Linked DNA regions of Lepisosteus oculatus. The protein of the gene in region 2 interacts with the protein of the main gene of each other region in a pairwise test. Links are inferred from orthologs where the notes say so. Each region holds a gene or a part of one and is shown on either strand. Other genes may lie near its edges.

Region 1 (7,494 bases), on a different chromosome or scaffold from region 2:
CTAAAGCTCAGCAGGTGTGAGCCTGGTCAGTACCTGGATAAGAGACCTGCTGGGAAAACAAAGGTGGCTGCTGGAAGAGGTGGTAGTGGGACCAACAGGGGGCGCTCATCTGTGTGGGACCTAATGCCCCAGTATAGTGACAGGAACACTATATTGTAAAAAGGCGCCATCCTATGAATAAAATGTAAAACCCAGGACTCTCTGTGGAATTTCCCACAAATTCCAGGGTACTTCTCAAAAAGAGTAGGGATGTTACCCCAGTGTCCTGGTCAAATTTCCCATTGGCCTTTAGCAATCATGGCCTCCTAATAATCCCCATCTATGAATTGGCTTCATCACTCTGTTCTCCTCCCTAATGATAGCTGATCATTGTGATCATTGTGAGTGTGGTGAGCATACTGGTGCACGATGGCTGCTGTCGCATCATCCAGGTAGGGCTACATATCGGTCGTGGTCCAGAAAAGCACTATATGAGGGTAAGAAATTATTATTAAATTATTTTTAAAACAAAAGAGATGGAGAGGCAGGTAACAGGGGTTGTTTCCAATAATAGCCTAACAATTAAGATGCCCTAATCAGAATTCACCCAAACCATCAGCTTTTATGACATTCATTATCTTCTTTTAAATCATGTTTGACTTAAGCCACATGAATAGAGTGGTGAACATGTGGAAGATATAATCAGTGAATATTTACAGCAGCGAGACAAGAACGACATTGGCAGCTGTGTGCTGATCTGAGCCTTAACTGAGGCTGCTGCCTGTAAGATAATGGAGCTGGGCTTGAGGAACAGCTCATTAGTGTTTGGAGGAAGATCCACAGCTACAGTGACTGTTTCATCAATGAAGCACATCGGTTCTTAGGTACAGACTGTAATAGCACTGGAGCTGTTGCTGATCCAACTTGGCAAAGGCTGAGAGTTTCCATTTTTCAAGGCTTTTATTTTTTGTTGCAAGAAGATAACCACTTCACTTTTCAGGTTTTTTTTCCACAGATAGTTTGCCCTGTGTTACAGAATCTTGTAAGCGGTAATCTTTTTCAACAACAAATTTATAACGGCAGTCTCAGTGGACTCAGTGGAATCTTATGAAGTTATCTGTGGACAATGTTATTGTTTTCAAGGTTTGAAAAATGTGCCCTAGTTGGATTGATCTTGTGTCAATACAATAGGAAACAATGGGTGTGAAGAATTAATGGCCCATCGTTTCGGCAGCCACAACTACAGAGGGAGATAACAGGAAAGAAAATCCATCAATCCAGCAGCCATATCACCCTGCAACTCACAACTGGCAACCCACTGAAGCTAAGCAGGTGTGAGCCTGGTCAGTACCTGGATGGGAGACCTCCTGGGAAAAACTAAGGTTGCTGCTGGAAGAGGTGTTAGTGGGGCCAGCAGGGGGCGCTCACCCTGTGGTCCATGTGGGTCCTAATGCCCCAGTATAGTGACAGGGACACTATACTGTAAACAGGCGCCGTCCTTTGGATGAGATGTAAAACTGAGGTCCTGACTCTCTGTGGTCATTAAAAATCCCAGGGTGCTTCTCGAAAAGAGTAGGGTCTCCTGGACAAATTTCCCATTGGCCCTTACCAATCATGGCCTCCTAATAATCCCCCTCTATGAATTGGCTACATTACCCTGCTCTCCTCCCCACTGATAGCTGATGTGTGGTGAGTGTTCTGGCGCACTATGGTTGCCGTTGCATCATCCAGGTGGGGCTGCACATTGGTGGTGGTGGAGGGGAGTCCCCATTACCTGTAAAGCACCTTGAGTGGAGTGTCCAGAAAAGTGCTATATAAGTGTAAGCAATTATTATCTGCGTGGAGTCTGTATGCTCTCCCCATGTCTGCATGTGTTTTTTCCAGGTGCTCTGGTTTCCTCCCACTGTCCAAAGACATACTATTAGGAAAATTGGCTTCTGGGAAAACTGACTCTGGCATACGTTTGTGCATGTCTGTGTTTTTTGTTTGTGTGTGCCATGTGATGGACTGGTGTCCCGTCCAGGGCGTGCCCTGTCTTGTGCCCTGTCTTGCCAGGAGAGGCTCCAGCTCCCCCACGACCCTGAACTGGATGAAGTGGTTAGAAAATGGGTGGATGGACGGATGAGATGAGATTACGCTGTGAAGCTCTGAGTTAAAATCCTGTTTAAAACAGATGTGCTGATTACTGCCTAGCAATAATTGTGCTTCGGCTAAACCTCATAGGCTACAATACTGCCGTTAACCTCACCAGTAAAGAAACACTGAGCTTCTTGTATTGGCATAAAGTCACACTGAGAGGCATTAAAAACACATCAAGTATTATGAACAAATCCATTTGTTGCATTTTATATGCCTCTGGATATATAAAGTTTCATACAAAATATTTGTACCTTTTGTTTTAACTTGCTAAAAATCTTGCTACCACTTGGTAGAGTACATGAATGAGAAATACATTTAGATGATAATATTTTTAGTATAGTTTAACAAATATATTGATTAAACATAATAGGGTATTGAATAACATTATTGGAAATGGTGTGTGTACAAATGTTAGCCAGCAATTGTATCACTTAATTTTCCATCACACACTCTGGCTATTAAAAATGCATAAGATCCGTTCAAAAGCCATTTTAGCAATTAAAATTGTCATCCAAGTAGGATGATTTTGAACAAGTAAAAGCACATAAATGCAGTTCACGGTTCCCCCTGCTGGTGGTTTGTAGACTTGTTCCCTAAGTAAGACGCAGTCAGCTGTATGATTTGTACATTTTAACTTAAAACATAAGCACATTTATGTCAATACTTTAGAGTAATTATACTGCTTACAAATAATAATAACATTGGAAGTGTTTAAGTAACCCACTGATTTCACCTCTGATCCTTAAACGCTATGTCTTTCATTCCAAATGAACAGAGCCCATAACGACTTAACTGAGTTCACAGATCTGTATTACTACTGCTATCAGGTTTTCAACAATGGAGGCTTGCTCACCCATTTAAACCTGGCTTGTAGTACCCATTATCTGCTGGGCTGTTACTCTCATAGACCACGCATTACTGCCAGTGCACAAGTCCTTCAAAACCTTTGCAAAGACACTGACCTGGGAATATTGCTATTGCTGAGCTGCAAACTTTTGAGAACAGAAGAATATTTCAAACAATTAACAGGAACAGTAAGCATGAAGAATGTTATGAAATTTAACATTCAGATCAAATGAAAGCTGCTTAAAAACTATAGGCCTACCATTCATAATGCCATGCAATACACCATGAATATCAGCAAGGGTTATTCTCAGACGAGGGACAGAAGCCCCTGGGAGATTACAAATAATAAACATTACATTTATTATTTTGATCCTTTCGAAAATCAGGTTGCACTCGTGAAAACACAAGAAAAGTAGGTTGCATAAACTTACTGGCGCAGGAACATATTACTTACATTTAAATGTGTTTCTAATACATTTTTGTGGTTTATACAGTTTACCTTCTAACAACAGGAAATGGTGTGCCCGATTTAAAAATCCCTTTAAACACCACATAGCCCTAAATTACTCCAGATAACGACTGATTTTTTTTTCTTTAAGAGATGTCTTATATTAGTTACATATATTTCAGGAAGACACATAATACACAAATACACATTTTCATGCTACAACTTAATCGATGTAACGATACACATAGAAGACAGAAAGTATATAAAGTATTCGGGTTGATAGACAAAATATTAAAATGCAGGAACGCCCAGCATTTCTCGAACTCTTTCAGTTTATGTTAAAAAAAAAACACTTTGTACTTTGGGTGATAAACTGTTTAGCACGCTTGGTTAAAACTACCACAAATACAGTACACGACACGTAACTGAAAATAAGAAAAAAAACGTACTTTGTTAGACGTTACCATAGCCACGACTCACTAGGGTATGATGTACCAGGTGTTCCGAAAGTGAGAAACTGGAACAGTGTCCTCGCCATTATGGATTCTATTCTACATAGAGTGACACATAATGCAGCTACCACTACTGGAACCGTAATGGCTGCCATTTCCAAAAAATAAAAGAACCTTTGTAAAGCAAATATATGACGGTAGCAGAAAAATAAAAGCTTATCTTCAACGAAGACATTGCTGTTTTCTTATGAAAAAATAAAATGTCTTAACTTTATGTAAAAATACATTATGTTATTTAAGAATTAACATCAGCTTGGACGGGGCAAAGACCCAAGTCATGTGGGCGGGTGCTTTTAACACATTTTGTGCCAATAAAATAAGCTTAATTTTGAGAAAACGATTCCTGTTTAAAACAACGTTGTTTTTAGACAGGGTATAATAGTGCCAAAAATTAAACCGCTTTACAGTTTCTCAATATAAATGCAGCGTGCTACGACTGAAGCCGAGTCCCATAAAGCAACACAAAGACCCGTATTGAGTGGCATTACTTTTAGCCAATAACATTCTCCCAACCGACACAGTTCCACCAGTAATAACGCGAAGGCGGGGTCTATCATGTGTTGTTCCAAAATGGCGTATGCGGGCTTTTTGCTGAAGGGACAGTGAGGGGTGGAAAATAACTTGAATATTTGGCAATAATATAATAAGAAAAGTAACTGAGAGTGGCTGCCCGTGATAACGTGTTTAGTGATTTGCTTTTTTCGAGTGAGTAAAAGCCGGCCTGAGGGAACAATAGTTAAAAGATGAAGGGCAAGGAGAGATCACCGGTGAAGAAGCGCTCTCGGGCCTTGGACGACATCCGAGACAGAGGAGGAAGCCACCCCACCAGCAAGAAAATGGGGACCCTCTCAGCGGCCGGAGGCAGCAACAATGGCAACAGTTCCGTCAAAAGCGAAGGGGGCTCTGCTAGGAGGAGTCTGCTGGCCGAGAAAAGAGAAAGTCGGGACTTCGACGGACACGTTTCCAGCCGGGCCGGGGGCAATCACAGCTATGCCAACGCCGCCGCTAGCTCCAGCAGCAAAAACCACAACAACCTGACTCTCGACCCGGCCGCCACCAGGACCAATTCCCGCGGGGAGCAGCGGCCTCCGCTCACCAGTACCGAAAGTGAGTACAAGACTCTAAAAATAAGCGAACTGGGTTCGCAGCTGAGCGACGAGGAAATAGAGGACGGGCTGTTTCACGAGTTTAAAAAATTCGGGGACGTGAGCGTTAAAATCAGTCGGATTAACGACGAAAGGGTGGCGTTTGTCAACTTCAGGCGGCCCGAGGATGCCAGGGCAGCCAAGCACGCCCGGGGAAGGCTGGTCCTCTACGACCGCCCTTTGAAGATCGAAGCTGTGTACATTAACCGGAGAAGAAGTCGCTCTCCCATTGAAAAGGAGGCTTATGCAGCAGTGGCAGGGCACAGACATTTGCATGCCCAGAGACCTCTGTCCCCCACTGGGCTTTGCTACAGAGACTACAGGCTGCAGCAGCTAGCCCTGGGTCGCCTACCCCCTCCCCCGCCCCCACCTTTACCCAGAGATCTGGAAAGGGAAAGAGAGTATGCCTTCTATGAAGCACGGGCACGCCCAGCTTACAACATCGCAGAACGTGCCGCCGCTTTCCGTGAGGAAGAGCTGATTTCGCCAGAAGATGACCAAAGAGCCAACAGGACTTTGTTCTTGGGGAACCTGGATATTGGCGTCACAGAGAGCGATCTGCGCAGGGCGTTTGACAGGTTCGGGGTGATCACCGAGGTGGACATTAAACGGCCCTCCCGTGGCCAGACCAGCACGTACGGTTTTCTCAAGTTTGAGAACCTGGACATGGCTCACCGGGCAAAACTGAGTATGTCGGGTAAAGTGATCTGCCGAAACCCCATTAAAATTGGCTACGGTAAGGCCACTCCCACCACGCGCTTGTGGGTGGGCGGACTCGGACCCTGGGTTCCTTTGGCTGCCCTGGCCAGGGAGTTTGATCGTTTTGGTACCATTCGGACTATTGACTACAGAAAGGGGGACTCGTGGGCCTACATCCAGTACGAGAGCTTGGACGCAGCACAGGCAGCTTGCACCCACATGCGCGGTTTCCCGCTGGGGGGACCGGAACGGAGGCTGAGGGTGGATTTTGCCGACACGGAGCACCGCTACCAGCAGCAGTACCTACAGCCCTTGCCCCTGCCTCACTACGACATTGTGGCGGAGTCGTTTGTGCACCGCGCTGCCCCGGAGTCGCTGCGGGTTAGGGAGAGGACTCCTCCGCCCTTGCACTTCAGAGAAAGAGAACTCTACCCGGCCACCGATTGGGCTGCTCCTCCAGTCCGGGACAGAGTGAGGGCGGCTTTCGATCCCCTGGACCATCTGGACCGGGAGCGCAGGCCGAGGGAGGCCTGGTCCCTGGAGCGAGAGAGAGAGCTGCAGAACCGTGACCAAACGCGCAAGCGGCGGCTGCTGGAGGACAGCCGCCACCTGGACCGCTCTCCTGACAGCAGCGAGCGCGCCCGAAGGCGTCACTGTCCCTCCCTTGAGCGCAGCCCAGGGGGGAGCAGTGGCAGAGACGGGGGGCGATACAGCGATTCGGAGCGGCCCCTGCGCTCCGAGAGGCCCTCCCCAGCACGGGACAGGCATGCCAGCCTGGAGAGGGCTGCTGGGGAGAAGCGGGGAGGAGAGAGGTTAAAAACTGTCAGTGCGGGGGAAGCGGCTGCAGGCGGAGTCGGGGGTGGGGCAGGATCTGGTGTGGAAAAAGAGCGCAAACGCAAGATCAGCGAGACCAGCAAGAGCCCAGCCAAGAAGGAGGAGCGCTTCGAGATGAGCTCTTCCAAGGGCAGCCAGGGGCTGAAGCAGGAGGCAGGCCAGAAGCTGTGCCTGGCCTGGCAGGGTATGTTGTTGCTGAAAAACAGCAACTTCCCCTCTAACATGCATCTCTTGGAAGGTGACCTCAACGTGGCAACCAGCCTGTTGATCGACGGCTCTACAGGTGGCAAAGTGGCCCAGCTGAAAATCACCCAGCGTCTGCGTCTGGACCAACCGAAGCTTGATGAGGTTACCCGACGTATCAAGGTGGCAGGCCCCAGCGGCTACTCTGTCCTCCTGGCGGTACCAGGGAACTCCGAGGGCGGGTCGTCTTCATCTGAGCCAGCATCGTCCACCCAGAGGCCGCTGAGGAACCTGGTCTCTTACTTAAAGCAAAAACAGGCCGCAGGAGTTATCAGTCTCCCCGTAGGTGGCAGCAGAGACAAGGACAACGCTGGAGTCCTTCATGCTTTCCCTCCCTGTGATTTCTCTCAACAGTTCTTGGATTCCTCTGCTAAAGCTCTTGCCAAAACAGAAGAGGACTACCTGGTGATGATCATTGTTCGTGGGGCATCATAAAAAAGAGAAAAAAAAATCTTGTAATCTATCCACAGCACTGCATGCGCTCTGTTCTGCATTATGGGATACAGCAATCTCTAAATCTGGGGGCTGCGGGCCCTCAGATGTTTTGCCAAAAAGAAAAACACCTTCCTTTTAGAAAAAAAAATATTGATCCACAGGTTTTGGGGGTCCAAATAGCTAAAAACAAAAAGCTCTGAAAACTTCAAATTCA
Region 2 (7,927 bases):
TTTTGTTCACTGGATGTTTTACAACATCATGAATGTTGCATTTTGTAGAGATGCGTGGTTTAAGACTCTCCATTGAGCCATTAAAGCCCCTAGATCCTTTTCTCACATTAGTGGTGTTTTATTTTGTTTTTTTTTTTACGTGATTTAGCTTTCTCCGGTGCTGTCTGCACACAGGGGAGGATATAAAATCACAGGGCTGTGCGAAGAATCAGAAATGCAGAGGGAGGAGAAGGCAGCTCTCTCCTGGTTTTTATTTTTCTTTTTTTTGTGTGGCTGTGATGGTACTGTTGTTTTTTCCAGCTTGTCCACCCTTCCCCCCACCAGGAGAACTGAATCACACCTGCAAAATATTTTCCTCACGATGTGAACATGGAGCAGATTTAATCTGCTGTTGTCGTCGCCCTTCCAAAGGAGTGGCCCTCATGCCTGCTACATGCTGGGGTCACTGCATTGAGCTTGGATAGTAACGTTCTTGCAGACACACAGGTATTCCTTTACACATTTGGATTGGAGTGACTGTACTGTAAGTGGGAAGGAGGACAGTACAGTCCATGGTGGTTAGTAACACACATACATGACAGAAGATAGCCAGCTGCATAATAAATACTTGGGATTTGAGGAGATGGTTCCTGAAGACATAAAGTGAAGGTACTGAGTGACCTATGGGCGGTAATTAAGGCCTTACGCCTGCTAGTATCAGCCTTTCTCCTTACTGGTCAGTAAAGAGAGAGGCTACAGGGAAAGGCTAAGGGAAAGAGAATTTACATGAAAAGCTTTAACTAACACAGTCACATTATCAACAAATATATAAGTTCCTATAAAGTTGGGGAATCTTTATTGGATGTGACATTGCACACTTAGTTAAGATGAGCTCTATTTGCAAAGCATTGGTTTAGCCATCTAGTGTTACAATGGGAAGAATTTGTCTCCTTCAGGCTATATTTTCTAATAACATTCTTATAACATTATAATAAGAGTGTTGTTCCATTGTCTGTTAGATAATGTTGACCTGCTTTAGTGGAGTGGAAATCATTGCCCTGTTAGCCTTTGCATCTTCTGCATTATACAATTTGTTGAAGAACAATGCAGATCTGTTGCTGCTGCATCGAAAGTAAAGTGAGTCGCCCTTGCAGTCGTTTTACAAGTGATGACCAATGCTAATAATTGATTGATCTTTTCTCTATTAAAGACTCTGATATACTCTACTTACAAATTTGACAGTGGTGGTTTATTCAAGTTTAAAATCACAGACAATTTATCAACTACTGATTCGTATATTATTATCCAACATGTTAACAAAATCATCTGTTGATTACTGATTTAATTGTGCTGTGTCTGAACTCTAGTCTTCAATTGTTTCACAGTTGAGAAAAGGTGAGAACCTTTGTAATAGGAATTTTTTTTTTGTAATTTTAGAGAAGTACTGTGTCTTTATAAGAAATAGGGACAATAAACATTTCATATTTTCCTTTAAAAGTGAGTATTAGCCATCTTTCAGTATCTTAAGTGCTCGCCATGATAAAACCTCGTCCTTTAATAATAATAAATAATAATAAAGGTCTTTTCAGAGTTTTTGTGGTGTTCTAGGCATGCTTTTGTTTTAGCTATGTCTTATTCCAAATTGTCAATCAAATCAGTGCCCTACATAAAACCATGAATCTGTGTGTTTGCTCCATTGTCCTCTATTTAAAGTTCTATTTGGAAACTTAATGGAGTGTTTTGGTTTGTGTTGCTTTTTTCGTAAGGGGAAAAATCCTTTGGAAAAATGTGATGTAAAAGAGACGACTGGACATTTCCCCCGCCCCAGCCCCCCCACAGAGAATTCATGCAGCACTAAGTCAGATGTCACCAGTTCACGGCTGCAAATGTCTATTCTCTCAGTGGGGAGCAGCTAATAAACATGCCGTGTTCTTGTTTTTTTTTAAGTTCTTTTGGTTTCACCTCTGTTGTGGAGAGTAGTCAAAATGATTTTTTCACACTTCAGATGCGTTCACTTGTTTACACGGTGACCAGATGTACAACGTGCCCTTCAAAATCCCAAACTGCTTCTGTGCTTACTGTGGGATTTCGTTGTCATTTTGGTTAGTTAAAATTACTTTTATACCCAAATGTTCTTTGTCCCTTCAGTACTGTATTCTTTCAAAGTCTGTTCACAATGATTGAAACTTTGTGATTGAAAAATCACTCCATCAAGTGGAGCGATGACATAGCTGAAAGGCCTTCAGGGGCCAGTACAAAATGGAATAAAAGGCTGTGAAATAGAGGTTAGGACCAATGCCGAAGCCAAACCAATTTTTAAAGGATGGTGGGAAAGTTTGTAAAGAATATGACTAAATTGCAGTGAAGTCTATAGTGGCAGTGATATGGTCTTGAAATTGCAGACCGGATCTGGCTTTTCGTTTTTTGATTCCTCAGGAAATTTGATTTTAGGAAACCAGGGGTGTAGTGAGTATTGCAAACAGTACTGTGCTGTCTATGTTATGGATCATGTACTGTTCATTCCGTTTGTTTGACATTTTGTTTCTTTGGGAAACCAGGTCAGGCTGTGACTCAGTTGTATGGTTTTCCCATCAATTACTGTATAGCCCTTGCAGTGGTATTTGTCTTGGATTACCTGAGATCTTATTATAAGAAATAAGACATTTTTGAAGGAATAAGACATGCAAAGGTATCTGACTAAATTGGTCCCAAATGGACTGAATTTTTTCTGGTGCAGACCAATTTCCTAGCTTTATATATTCACTACATAAGCCATTTTTGCAGGTTATTTCCACTAATGCCTAAGGTCAATTGTATGTCTGAATTCTACAGAAAGCATTCTTTGTTCCCTAGTTTAAACAAATGACTTCAAAACAGCATCAATTTGCTTTTTTGTTCCAGGAACTCGTATGTCAGAAGTTTTTAATTTAAGGTGTGGGTTTGGGAGACCAGAAAAAAATGGAATATGCTATATTTATTCTTTGAAGTACTGGAATATAAAATTGAAAAAAATAAATCTGTTGTCATGGGAACCTGTTTTCTTTCTTGCCTGGAGGACAAATTGTAAACAGGACTACAACATTAAATAGTTGAGAATTTTAGATTTAATTTCATTTTAGAATGAACTCCCCTCCCCCAAACTGCTTTGTTGCTGACTTGAAAAGGAGTGTATGTAAATGTTTTTATGTGTTTGTTGATAATATTGTGAAGTGTAATGCTCTTTTGTCATATTTCATTGATATACAACACAAACATTCATAATTATCTTGTAGGCCTGTATTTAAGTTTGGATCAGTTAGTAGATTTAAATTAATGAGATTATTTGTGGGGAAAAAGTGTTCAGTTTGGTTATGTCACACTGACATGCTGTGGAAAGGTCTCAGGTGTGCAACAAAACCAAAAAAGACCATATTCAAAAGTGTGGATCTGGAGCTTTGTGTGGTTCTTTCTTGTATTTGAAACAAGCTCATGTTTCCTGTGGAGGTTCATGTAAAAAACTGAGACCTGAGAGTCATCAGGGAGAGCAGCTCCTGTCCTCCTGCTGCTGTTGCACTGTAGGAGCTCTGAGCATTTAGGGAACGAAAGAAGCCGAAGGCCTGGAGGTGGCACCTACTGTATAGTAGGAGGATAAGTGTAGCTTGTCTTCATCAACCTACTGCTCTGCTCTTCTAATTATAGTAAAGGGTCTTCATGCCTTTTCTTTTTCCAGCATTGCACATTTCTGTAGGAAGGGTAACGTAGGAACTGGATAACTCATACATACATTACTGTTGTAAGTAATTAAAAGTACAGTACTATTTATTTGAGGTAAACTTTTGAAAAGTCTACATGTCTTCAAAACAAATGAAAAACATAAGTGAAATGACTTTATTTTTCGATTCCCTGTCTCTGTGTCCATTTTGTGAGCACTCCAATTAGCTTGGCAGGCTATTATACTGATGAGTTAAAAACGTGAAGCCTTTTCTCCAGGCTTTCTTAACACTCAGACACACCCATAATCAGATCAGCTCGGACTTCCATTACTTAAGATTATGGTAACTGGATTACCGCAGGCAGTGAGGGAGTCACAGCATCAGTTTGTCTTTCTATGTTATGGAATTGCAGTCGACATTAATTTCATCCAGAAACTTAACATCAATGACATCATATGTGTGGCGAGTCCATTAAGGCAATTAATTTTCAGCATTAATGCATTTTTTTATATACATAATGTTCTAGAATGAATCAAAGAAAAAAGTCTTAACAGTCTTATTTTAATTGATTAAACGCCCTCAATCTTGACAAGCACAAGTAAAATTACTTTCCTTTTCAATAAGCCACTCTCCTGTACACTAAGTATTTTATATAGAGATGCCAGTTTGAAATAAAACAGTGGTATGGTGATACTGTAGGAGGCTGATTTAGTCACCAGCTTGAGCTGCCCAAGTCATAGACAATGTTTTTTGCATAAAGGACGTACTGTTGATTCAATATTAAAAATAGAAATGGACATGTATTGCCTTAACTGCATTAAAATATATTTGTTAGGCTGCTCATAATGCAGTCTTGCCCTAAAAAATGTTCCCTGCGTGTTTTCTTTCAGAAAATACCAAAGCTTCTGTTCAGACTTTGCTTTGAGGAGCTCAGAGGACAATATGCCTGTTGCAGTTCTCTGTTAGTTTGGAATAGCGCAGGCGCTGTATTGCGATGAAATGACAGGGAATTTCTGTAATCCTCCGTGCAAACCCCTCCTCTTTTGCAGGGATCCTTTTTTTTTTTTCAGTGAATGTAGCCAATCAGATTGCAGCACTCCACTACTGTCACACAGTACCCTATTTCTTCTTCATCTAATCTCTGTTGCCTCCTTCAGCTAAGCCAGGAGAACCTGACAGCTTTTTTTTAAAAAAAAGGTTCTTAAATCTGACCTGCAAGAGACGGTTTATCTAATGTGAACAGAAGGCAGCAATCAGCTGTGCTGCCTGGCGTCTGTGGGTGAGAGGCAATCTGTTTCTCTGCGTGGAACATGTGTGAAGGAAGAGGTTCATTTCTAGTCAGGAGTTCATATCATCAGCTGTGTGACGGAGATCTTTAAGAAGGCACTGGGATGCGTTGCCTCGTCTGTGAAGAAAGCTTTGGAGAAAAACTGTGCCCATAAGGAGGATGGTTAGACTAAGATGCTTGTCTCCCTGAGTCTCCTCTCCAAGGGCATTAGTCATTAACTTGCTAAGCTACATCTGCTACTTGGCTAACGCTGAAGGAAAAGGCTTCTTAATCTGGAAATCCTGCAATGACTCCTCTACAGTGACAGGAAAGCATATGTACAGTAGCAGCAAGTTGCCTCAAATGTTTTTTTTTCCCTGTTTGAGCATCACTATTCCGTTCAGCTGGTAATGAGAGGATAATGAAGGCACAGCTCAGTGGGAAGAAGTATCACATTATTGAGGCACAGGTGGGAACACTACCTCTGGAAACCCAACGGGGGACAGAAGGGCAAAAACCGAAGCAAATCACTCGGGACCGATGGTTTACCATTAAAAACTAGATAAAAAAATTCAACCGCTTGTCAGCAGGCTGTCAGGACGCTCCTGAGCGCGAGCTCCGATTCTCCTGCCGTAAGTGTTTGGTTCTGCTTGTGCTTCTTAATCGGGAGAAGCACGCGGTCTCACTACAGCAGCTGCTGGGTTTTTTTCCCTGCCTCTCCTGTCAGAAGCACATCTCTCAGGGCTCTGGCCTCTCCTCCTGACTGAAACGTGTTCGGAAAGCAAGAAGGGAAGATGCCGGCCATTCTGGTGGCCTCAAAGATGAAGTCTGGACTGCCCAAGCCCGTGCACAGCGCAGCTCCCATCCAGCATGTCCCAGTCAGGACTATCCCCCAGCCCTCCTACCTGAAGCTGGGCAGCAAGCTGGAGGTCTGCAAGCCTACCTACTCCAGCCAGATCCCCCTCAAATCACCCCACGGGCACGAGACTGAAGGGAATGGGGCTCCCCAGAAAAAGGGTAGCATTGTAGAGAATGGATTTGACACCCAGGTTAGATCACTCCTTGCGTTTTCCATTTCTGTGTTGTGTAGGTGTGTGTTTGTTTTAGAATAATGTTTCTATAGAGAAACCATGCTTTCTTTCTGTTTGCTAGGTAATGCATTGGAGACATAGTTGTAACAGTCGTACTGGCTATAATCAGAATTAATAATGATGGTGATGATTATTAGAATTGGCACCTTAGTGTATGTGTAATGCATAACTTGTCCCTCTAATGTGAATATCATTTTCATTGATTTGCGGGTGTTAACGTACATTTCATGTGCGTGTGTGTGGTTAATTGTTTTTTGAAGACCAAAATCCCTGAAATAACTTCACAATTAGTGTTTTCAATGTCTGAAAATTGTAGATTCTACTGTTGTCCACTTTAAGCATTGCAATCCTATAAGTAAAAACTGAAGAATTAGTCTGAATGTAGGGTTGCTGTAAGTGTCATTTTTTACAGTTGACATTGCTTAAGTAATATGCATTTCACATTACTGCTGGTTAGAAATCTATTAATAGGATAATGAGAATGCTGTGGAAATATATTCATAAGAGGTATTGGCTAATACAGTAAGCTAAAGTGTGACCTATTTCCTGCATGTATTGTATATTCAAGAAAAGATGTTGCAGACATTTAAAGGCTAATATATTCCTTTTTCCTCTTCTGTTATTTAGTATCTCAATGTTTTAGGTGGCAGTCCTTAAGTTGAAATTTTTAATCCTTTAATAACTACAGGATATGATTTCATAGTTAAAGACCCTGTGATATTCATGGCGTGTCAGGGTTGTGAAAAGAAACGTGTTTATAAGTCCTGTGCACATTTCCAGCCCTGATCCACTCCTTGTGAGGATTTACGTCTCTAGCATATCTCTTTGGTTACATTTCCCCAAGAAGAAAATGTAAAAAGCCCACAGCGTTGTCTTTTAATGGGCTTACCGTGGAATTAAATGCAAGTGATAGACAGTTGGTTTAGAGTGATCCTTGCTACTGCATATAAGCTCCTACCAGTTTGATATACTGTAAAAGCTTCATGCGTGTGGGGGTGTTGTTCTCTGTATGTGCCTGTTGCTAAGGAGGGTTAGTATCTATTTAAAGATAACGTTAAAAAATTCTAACCTTTACGAAACTAGCTGGCACTCTCTGTTGGCAAGTAAATTTAGCCATGAAATATATAGCCTTCACATAAATTCTATCTTGGATGTTATAGAGGAAATGTGGTGCACTGTGCACATATTAATAGGTCTTACAGGGATATAGCTGATAATTTAAGGCTTGCTCAGGCAGGGCACTACAGCAGATTTTTAAAAAGGGGCTAGGAACATAACGTTTTTTATTTTGTAAAGGCTGGATGTTCTGCCGTTCTATAATTGAAAGTGTGGTAATTTCTAATTTAGATTGATCTTTGTGTAATTGTATTCTATCTGGGATATAGTGTGTTTGAAATAGTAGGTTATTTCAAGATGTTTTAAAAAGGGTATAAAACCAGTAACCTGTGACTCTGCCCCATCTGGCATCTATACAGAGAAATGTAGCTTTGTATGCAATTTATGCAATTTGAACGTTTACAAAGTTTAGCCTATATTTTACAATTTGTATAGAGTTTTCATATTTATTAGGCTGTCAGACCTTCTAGGACTCTTATTTTTTGTTTTGATTCTAACTGTAGTTAGTATCGCCTTTCTCATATGTCTGTTATCGCTGCCAATATATTGTTGCTAAAATGCCAAAAATATTTTGCACACAGCGCCTCGTTTTTGTTACATCTGTAAACCGTGCAAATAAAAAAACACAAATATGTTCCTTACTATACAGGAAAGTAGTTTAAGAAACTTGGTAAACCCCAGTGTCACAGTGAAGTGGTATGGATAATTAAGAAGTCATGGATTGGACTTCATTAAGCTTTTAATGGGGATATGCATCTGTTAATATTGCAAATTCTGTCATC
Region 3 (7,618 bases), on a different chromosome or scaffold from region 2:
TTTAACCTGGTGACATTCAAAAGTACAAAAATAGAAAATGATCAGATAACTTAATGTTGTATCAACATTAAGTCATCTGACCATTTTCTTTTTTTTTTACAATTTTAATCGGTTTTAAAATACGTTGAGTTTAACTTTCCTCTAGTTACCACACAGTGACAAAAGACTAATTCCAGCACCACTGCCAGTACAACACAATCTGTTTCTATCACAAATGCTCAAACTAAAGGCATGGCTGTCATGTTACGTGTTTGCATTGAAAAGCAGCAGCAGTACAATCGCTGTACTGACCGACTTGAAATTCGGCAGGTTTCTTGTCATTCATGAATACATCCCATCATATTCATTTTCAATCAAAATCCAACCAAAATATCTTATATTTTCACTACATTTCAGATATTGTATTATATAAGATCTGTATCTTGACCTGAATGAAAATAACGGTACTGAGTCTATGGCTGCTACTGTATGGCTCTCAAATCCGATTTTATGAAAAAAGATTTGTAAATCTCTTCTTCACGTGTATAGCAAATTGTACAGCTGTACAGCTGTGTGCATAGTCCTCCCGTGACCACAGTTATGGCTGTCATGTTGCATTATTTACTAGGAACATTTTCGTCAGGGACCCTTTTAGCAGATTAACAGGAAATTGAATTGTATATGCTTACATTGTACTGCCCCTAACAATGTAATTAAACATCAGGTTCTACATGAATACCTACACTAACCACCATGAGACATTCAATTTGTGGATTTTCTGCTAAAAAAGTGATTCCTATTCTCAGTGCTAAAAACACTTCCCTGTAACTTTCATTTCTGTCCTCTGTTGTGAGGTCCACTGTTGATTCTGAACAAATCCTTGAGACACTTAGTTGTTTTTGTTTCTCCAAGCATTGCTGCCACGTTCATCTCCCATCAGCTCCATTGGTTTATTTATGTTGTCTCTTAGCTTAATCATGACAATACATCAAGTGTATAAATCATAACATTATCAATTCTTTGGAGATTATGGCTTTTTAAAAACCCAGAAGGAGGAAGAATATTTGGAATGAAGCCTAGCACTTTAAGAAACAAAGGTGTCAAACTGAGGAAGCAAGGCAAGAGTATCAAGGGGAGCTTACCATGATCATATTGCACACTATAAATCAGGATGCCTCCTGAGACAAGTTGTTACCTGCTCAAGTTGTCAGAGTGTGTGGTTCCCTGATTGGCTTTGTCAGTCCCCTTCGGATTCATGGAAGAAACTCATTCTCGTGAGATGGCAAGTGAGTAACAATGTGGTGTACAGTATATGCAGAATTTGTGTTTTTGTGAAATATTAGCATTTGTACTGTACATAGTTCTATATAACTACAGTACATTATCCTTTTTTGGTACAACAATGCTGTTCTTTCTTCTTCAGGTGCTTGGTATTAAAAAGTTGAAGAAAAGATTAATTTCCCACTTCAAAGTAAAAAGAAAATAAAACTCACTTGAAGAAGGTTCCCTTGCTGTAATGGTGTGTTGTTGATTCTCTCTTCTCATTGTAGAATTTGTGAATAGTCCATCACTTGCACAAATATTGCACTGGTAAGATTAGTTCATTTTTCAGGGATGGCATAAATGTTATGTAATTCCAATTTTAAGATTTTTCTTAATTAATCCGACATTCGTTTTTTTGGTTACTGCTTAAAGAACCACTGCACGCTAGGTGTGGTCCATAAAAGGCTACAAACTGGTTATGACGATATTTTTATTTAGTTTGCCCAGAGCACCCAGTTCACTCCATTAATATTAATTTGTACTTCTAAAATAATCATGCAGTATAATTATTGTAATGCAATGCTTTATTACTTTAATAAGGTATTTTAATAAAAGACTGGAGCTGTTATCAAGCAGTTACCTGTTACCAGCATTCTTAGCATACTGTAACATGCAAATTATCTTAGATTAGACTTCAGTTATTCCATGATCAATAGTTCTAACAGAGAACAGAAGACAACAACAAAGATTATTTTACTGAGAGCTACAATTTAGACACATTTGCTAATTAGACTCAGCGGTGATATATCCTTATTAACGTAAATCAATTCAAGTGAAGAAAGGTGCAATCTGCATCTTGATTGTTTCAGTTCCTAACAGAAATTGCAGTTTACCTTGCATATTTTATTTGATTCTCATTATTTCTGATTTTCCTTCAAATGGAAAAGCTTCCTGGGTTTTGCTGACTGCAACAGTGTGTCTGTAGAAGTAAATAGTTGATATTTGTGCAGGACGGCATGCTAAATCATTCAAATGACTCTAAATAGGCCATTTTGGATACCGAATTACTGAATGCGTGCACCCTGGAATTAATTAATGGGATGAAGGGAAAACATATGCTGTAGATGCATTTCAAGCACTTAAAATCAGTCAGTAACCTTAGCCAATTAATGCAGAGACGCTTTTGAAAAGATCATTTAAAAGCATAAATTTTCTTCAGTTCTTATTCTGTGTATAGGCAACATCATGCTTATGGTTAAGGTATTCAATACTACCTTGGGGCAGTTTTTCCTCGTAGAACTAATACTGGCTATGGAACAACACAGAAATAGAAACAAATGTGCCTGATGGGTTTAACGGCCATCGAGCTCTTGTATGACCTTTCTAATGTTCTCATCCTTCTGAATGGAAACATCCCCTTTTTCTTCAGGAGAGTTTTGATTCCAGCTTTTTTTCACTGCGTTTTGCACATGTATGTCTATATCTCATAGAGTTTCAGTAATCTTGGAATACTTTTTGCTCATGGTGTGGATTTGACACCTGTGGTATAATGACACTAATATAGCCTTATTGAAGTGAACCACGTGGATTTCAAGTGCCCAGCAGAGTCTCGTTATTTTTCTCTGTCCAGTGTTGTACAGCTCTGGACTAGTTCTTCTGGAATATGTGGTCAATAATTTAGGAAAGTTCCATCATACTGTATAAATCAGAAGCTAAAGTAGTGACAAATAAATATGTTAAAGTATGTTGATGAATGGTGACTCGGTGGTGCAGATGTTGGCTTTGCTGCATTGTAGTGCTGGGGCCCTGAGTTATTGTACATGTGGTGCTATCTGTGTGGAGTTTGTATGTTCTCTTCAGCTTCATGGGGGTTTCCTCTGGGTGCTCCCCAGTGTGTCTGAAAGTGTGTGTGCAATGGACTGGCATCTCATTCAATGTTTACCTTGCCTTTCGCCTGTCAAACGCTGGCTCTGGTTCCCCGGCTACCCTGAATTGGATGAAGTGGTTGGAAAATGGATGGATTGATGGTGATGAATGTGATTTTCATCACCGTCTGATCAAATAGAAAATGCAAAATACAAACAAAACCCCATAATTATTCTATTGTTTGGCTTTGTAAATTAAATGCAGGAATTTACAGTACTGTATGTCAAGTGTATATTTTGTTTTTTTGTGCTTTGTTTTCTAAATAGCAGAACCACCAGAGCTTTGGAATATTCTATTAAGTCATTGTAGTGCACTTCTTCAGAAAGAACACTGAAACATGAACTAAACAACACAAGTGGAAACAACATGGAACAACATTGATCATTTAAAAATAATTCCAGTTATGATGTCTGTGAATTAAAAATGTGGGTGTTTACACTATGCCAATAGGTTATTTGCTGATCATTAAAATGACTCTGATTCCTTCTATTTTTTTAACAAGAAAAAGTTCTGCATGTTTTGTTGTAGCATATCCAGTTATGAGGTGATGCTCCCATCTTGTGGCAATAGGATGCACAGCAACATCTAGTTTCAGTGATGATTTCCAAAGCCTTTGTATTTGGTATCACTTTCGTATTCATTCTGGTATAGTTCTTTTGCCATAAGATAGTATATATTAGTAACGATTCTGAGCTGACTGTAGTGTGATTTTGTTTTGTAAAATGCTTAACAGAACAGAAGGAATTCATTAAGAAGTCGGTTGTGTTACAGTTTTCCGTTTAAAAAGTTTTTCAGATCTTTTTTTTTATCTGGAATGAATATAGAAAATCTTTCTTTTTGCAAGTTGGGGCTGCAGTACAGAACATTACTTATGTCAAATTCACTTTATATTGCATCTCAAATCATTATCTGCAATTTTGAGAGTGTGATTTAAAATTTGTCAAGCATTCCGCCTCTTACATTACTTGACAGATTTCAAATATTCACATATTTCATATTATTTTGATGTTTTACCATGTTGTTAGCATTTTAAATAAAGTACCTTCAAATTATTGTATAAAGATTCACATTGTTTAAATTTCTGCCAACATTTCAGTACCAATTGCCATGTAAATTATTTAAGTATTTGAAATCACTATTTTTCTTGTTTTGTTTTACAAATTGATCTTGGGCCCCATGAGGTAATCAAACAGCCATGGGTAGACCTCTTAAAGTAATCTTCTTAATTTCTTAAAGCTTCATTTGCAGGATTTTATTAATACAAATATGGGTCATTTAGAGTGATTGAATGACTTCTCATTCTGTCTTAAATGTACCAAGCCTTAATTTCCACAAGGGCTCCTCTGATTGGTGGGAGAGGGAGTACGTGGAACAGTAGGCAGTTGCTTACACAAAGAGAGAGGATTAACAAAGAAAAGAAAGAAAAGAAAATCTAGTTTTGTAGAGGATGCTGATTCAAATATCCTTCCAAAAGCCTTCTAAATGAAGCAGTGGCACTGCAAGCTACCAAAACTCTGATAATTATAATTTGCAAGACTGGCAACTTTAATGTTTTTTTGTATCTCTGCAGTTTACGATCAGAAATGGACACTTCTGCCTTCAATGTGACCAGTTCCAGTAAAGCCTTTTAGATAACATGCAATAGGCCCACGCTTTGTCCTTTCTTATGTTGCGCTTCCCAGTTCTTTCAAGGGCTCACCCTAGTCACGTGGGTGGTACCCTGGAGCGGTGCAGGATGGTCGCGGAAAGAAAATGGCGGATTTTGAGGAGCTGAGGGTAGGAGAAAGTATTAAATTAATTTCGTGTTACATAGAAAGAGCACTGAGCATCGTCGTAAAGCATTGGAATGATTGGGTATATCTGTTATGGAATCGTTACATTAGAACTGATATTTTAATTGGAGTTTACTAAGTGGAGACGTTAATGTCTGCCTCTTGTGTTTTGGTCGGAGGTTACGGTTTATTTGGTGTCTCGTAAAATAATTATATTATTAGGCCTGTTGAGTGTAACTTTTGAATTCTAATAGATGTGTCTTTAAGTACACATTTTCTGCTATTTGATTCATCATTGTTGTCGTAGATGTGTTTTTAGGTTTTATGAACGGTATTTTTTCCGCCAAAACATCTGGTCTAGACTGTTGTGTTGTACATATTTACAGCTTGTGCCAATTCTCGAAACCATGTAAGTAGCCTCTTCATCCGTATAGCAGATGCATTTCTACCGATTTCGAGATCAACCGTTTTGTCACCAGAACCGTGCAATCTGTTGTGAACTCCGTGCTTCTGATTATGGTGCCCTTTATCTCTTTATTATTCCAACTTTTAACTGTTGCTTAATCTCTGTTGCAGTGTGTTTGCGACAAGGACTGCTTACAGTACGTGTGTTGTCTGCCTTGTTTTTTTTCTTTTCCCGTTTTTAATGGGTTTTGGAATTATTCTTAACATTTTAGATGCTATACGATCACATTTGTTAAGGAAATGTAAAGAAAAAGGATTAACAAGTAAGAACAATCAAGCATGGACCATATAATGAAGGGTCAGTCGGGGTTTTCTTACTTTTTTTCTGTGGGTTTTTCAGATGGGATTTCTTGGGAGGGACGTGGTCATCAAACCACAGTTAAGGGGGAGAATTGTCAAATTGATGATGGATATTATAGATGTGTATGGGTGGAGTATAAACTACATGCCGCTCAGCGAGCAATGCAGAGCCGGTGGAACTCTACTGCTCCAGAGGTGACAGTCGTTTTCCCCCCGCCGTGCTAATAGACAAAGTACCGTTCACTCTCCTGAATGCACTCAAAATCCTGTACAGAAACCACACCTGGCTGCTTTCTAACGTCTACAGTGTGCCTTTGATGTACTTCATTTTATAAAGAATTCAAATCCGTTATTGGAGGAAATGTAAGCCTCATTCTTACATTCATACATAAGATGGCACTGAAGCATCCCTGGACTGACACAGTAAAAATAATTTAGTTGTTTGAGTATTTAATAGGAATAATTGGAGCTTCATAAGGTGCTGTCGCCGTAGAAAGTGTTTTGTACTTGTTTGTCACTTTACCCGCACATTGCTATAGTGGTGAACACTTCTAGTTCTTGAGCTCTTCAGGAGGTGGTTTAATCTCAATTAGTTCTTTGTGATGTTTTTCTTGCCTTTCTGCTTGTGATGTAAAATGATGATAAAGGAGCCCTGTAGCACAAGAGCTATGATTATTCAACACTTGTAGAGATGGTAGATTATCCTTTTATTATGGTGTCAATAGTATAATTTGCCCAGTGTTCTGCCTTGCTGAAGTTGTGCTGAACCAAATAAACACCCGTCAAATGTTTATATTTTTTGTATTTTTTCAGAATATGGTTTCAAGTTTTCGGGTCTCAGAGCTACAGGTTTTATTGGGCTTTGCAGGACGTAACAAGAGCGGTCGCAAGCATGAACTCCTTCTGAGAGCCTTGCACTTGCTAAAGAGTGGGTGCAGTCCAGCTGTTCAGATCAAAATTAAGGAACTGTATAGACGACGTTACCCCAGAACAATCGAAAGTCTCCCCGACTTGTCTGCCCTCAAGCCCTCCGGCTTCTCCCTGAATAGTAACTCTTCCCTCGTGGACCCGGACTTGGCCGGAGCCGGTGTGCATTCTCGCGCGCCTGGCTCGATCCCGCCGCACTCCGCAGCGCAGAGTCCTGTCCTGCTGCACGAGACGAAGCCCGGGATCGACATGCAGCAGCCGGCACCTCCCATCCCGCCTGTCCATCCTGACGTCCAGCTGAAAAGTTTGCCATTTTACGATGTGCTGGATGTCCTGATCAAACCCTCAAGCTTGGGTAAGCATCTGTCTCTTCTTTGCTCTGCACTGTGCATGCAAAATACTTTATTAGAAATTGCCCACTGTAATTGTAAATATAATAGAGTGCTGCTTTTAAGCAAGTAATCAATCAGTGATATTTCTTATATTTAGCTGTTTTTCTTTGCAACGCTAATTCAGATAATGACGTTCTAGAGTAAATTGTGAACAATTAGGCACTTTTGCTGGTTGTGGACTATAGGACATAAAGGAGCGTTATAATTTTATTATCTCCCTTATCTTATTTTTGAACAATCATCATACTGAATTTTGAGGGGTCTAATCAAATTTGCAAAATGAGTGAAAGCATTTCACCACGCAGTGTCTGCACTAGCAAATCTTTCCATAAGAACAATTTCTGCAAATGCAACCAGTGGCAATTTTAAGAATGTGACAGTCTCAACCCAACCTCGTGACACACGTTTTATGGCTGCACTTAGAAAAGATATTGCCTGATTATAGCTTTGGAATCATCATTGGGAAGGAGCAGTTGGCTTAATCTGTGGTGTAGGTTTGCACAACGTATGTATTTGTGCATTTTGCTATAAGAATAGAAAGAAGGCCAGCATGGAGAATGACCAGTCCCAAGAGACATCAGTAGTCTTCTTTTC

Evidence for each region.
Region 1: the proteins of nav2a (region 2) and rbm15 interact in binary tests that used the Homo sapiens proteins (3 or more experiments, as listed by UniProt). The two-hybrid records come from large-scale screens. The link is inferred for Lepisosteus oculatus from reciprocal best matches to the Homo sapiens genes NAV2 and RBM15.
Region 3: the proteins of nav2a (region 2) and pias2 interact in binary tests that used the Homo sapiens proteins (3 or more experiments, as listed by UniProt). The two-hybrid records come from large-scale screens. The link is inferred for Lepisosteus oculatus from reciprocal best matches to the Homo sapiens genes NAV2 and PIAS2.

What each region holds. Positions count from the first base shown.
Region 1 is NC_090700.1:37,400,550-37,408,043, forward strand, and holds the start of rbm15 (RNA-binding protein 15), read left to right. Parts: upstream 1-4,489; 5' UTR 4,490-4,667; coding exon 4,668-7,280; 3' UTR 7,281-7,494. UniProt on the Homo sapiens protein: RNA-binding protein that acts as a key regulator of N6-methyladenosine (m6A) methylation of RNAs, thereby regulating different processes, such as hematopoietic cell homeostasis, alternative splicing of mRNAs and X chromosome inactivation mediated by Xist RNA.
Region 2 is NC_090716.1:7,202,874-7,210,800, reverse strand, and holds the start of nav2a (neuron navigator 2), read left to right. Parts: upstream 1-4,828; 5' UTR 4,829-5,732; coding exon 5,733-5,987; intron 5,988-7,927. UniProt on the Homo sapiens protein: Possesses 3' to 5' helicase activity and exonuclease activity. Involved in neuronal development, specifically in the development of different sensory organs.
Region 3 is NC_090698.1:40,483,360-40,490,977, forward strand, and holds the start of pias2 (E3 SUMO-protein ligase PIAS2), read left to right. Parts: upstream 1-4,597; 5' UTR 4,598-4,920; coding exon 4,921-4,944; intron 4,945-5,617; exon of another isoform or gene 5,618-5,703; intron 5,704-6,518; coding exon 6,519-6,987; intron 6,988-7,618. UniProt on the Homo sapiens protein: Functions as an E3-type small ubiquitin-like modifier (SUMO) ligase, stabilizing the interaction between UBE2I and the substrate, and as a SUMO-tethering factor.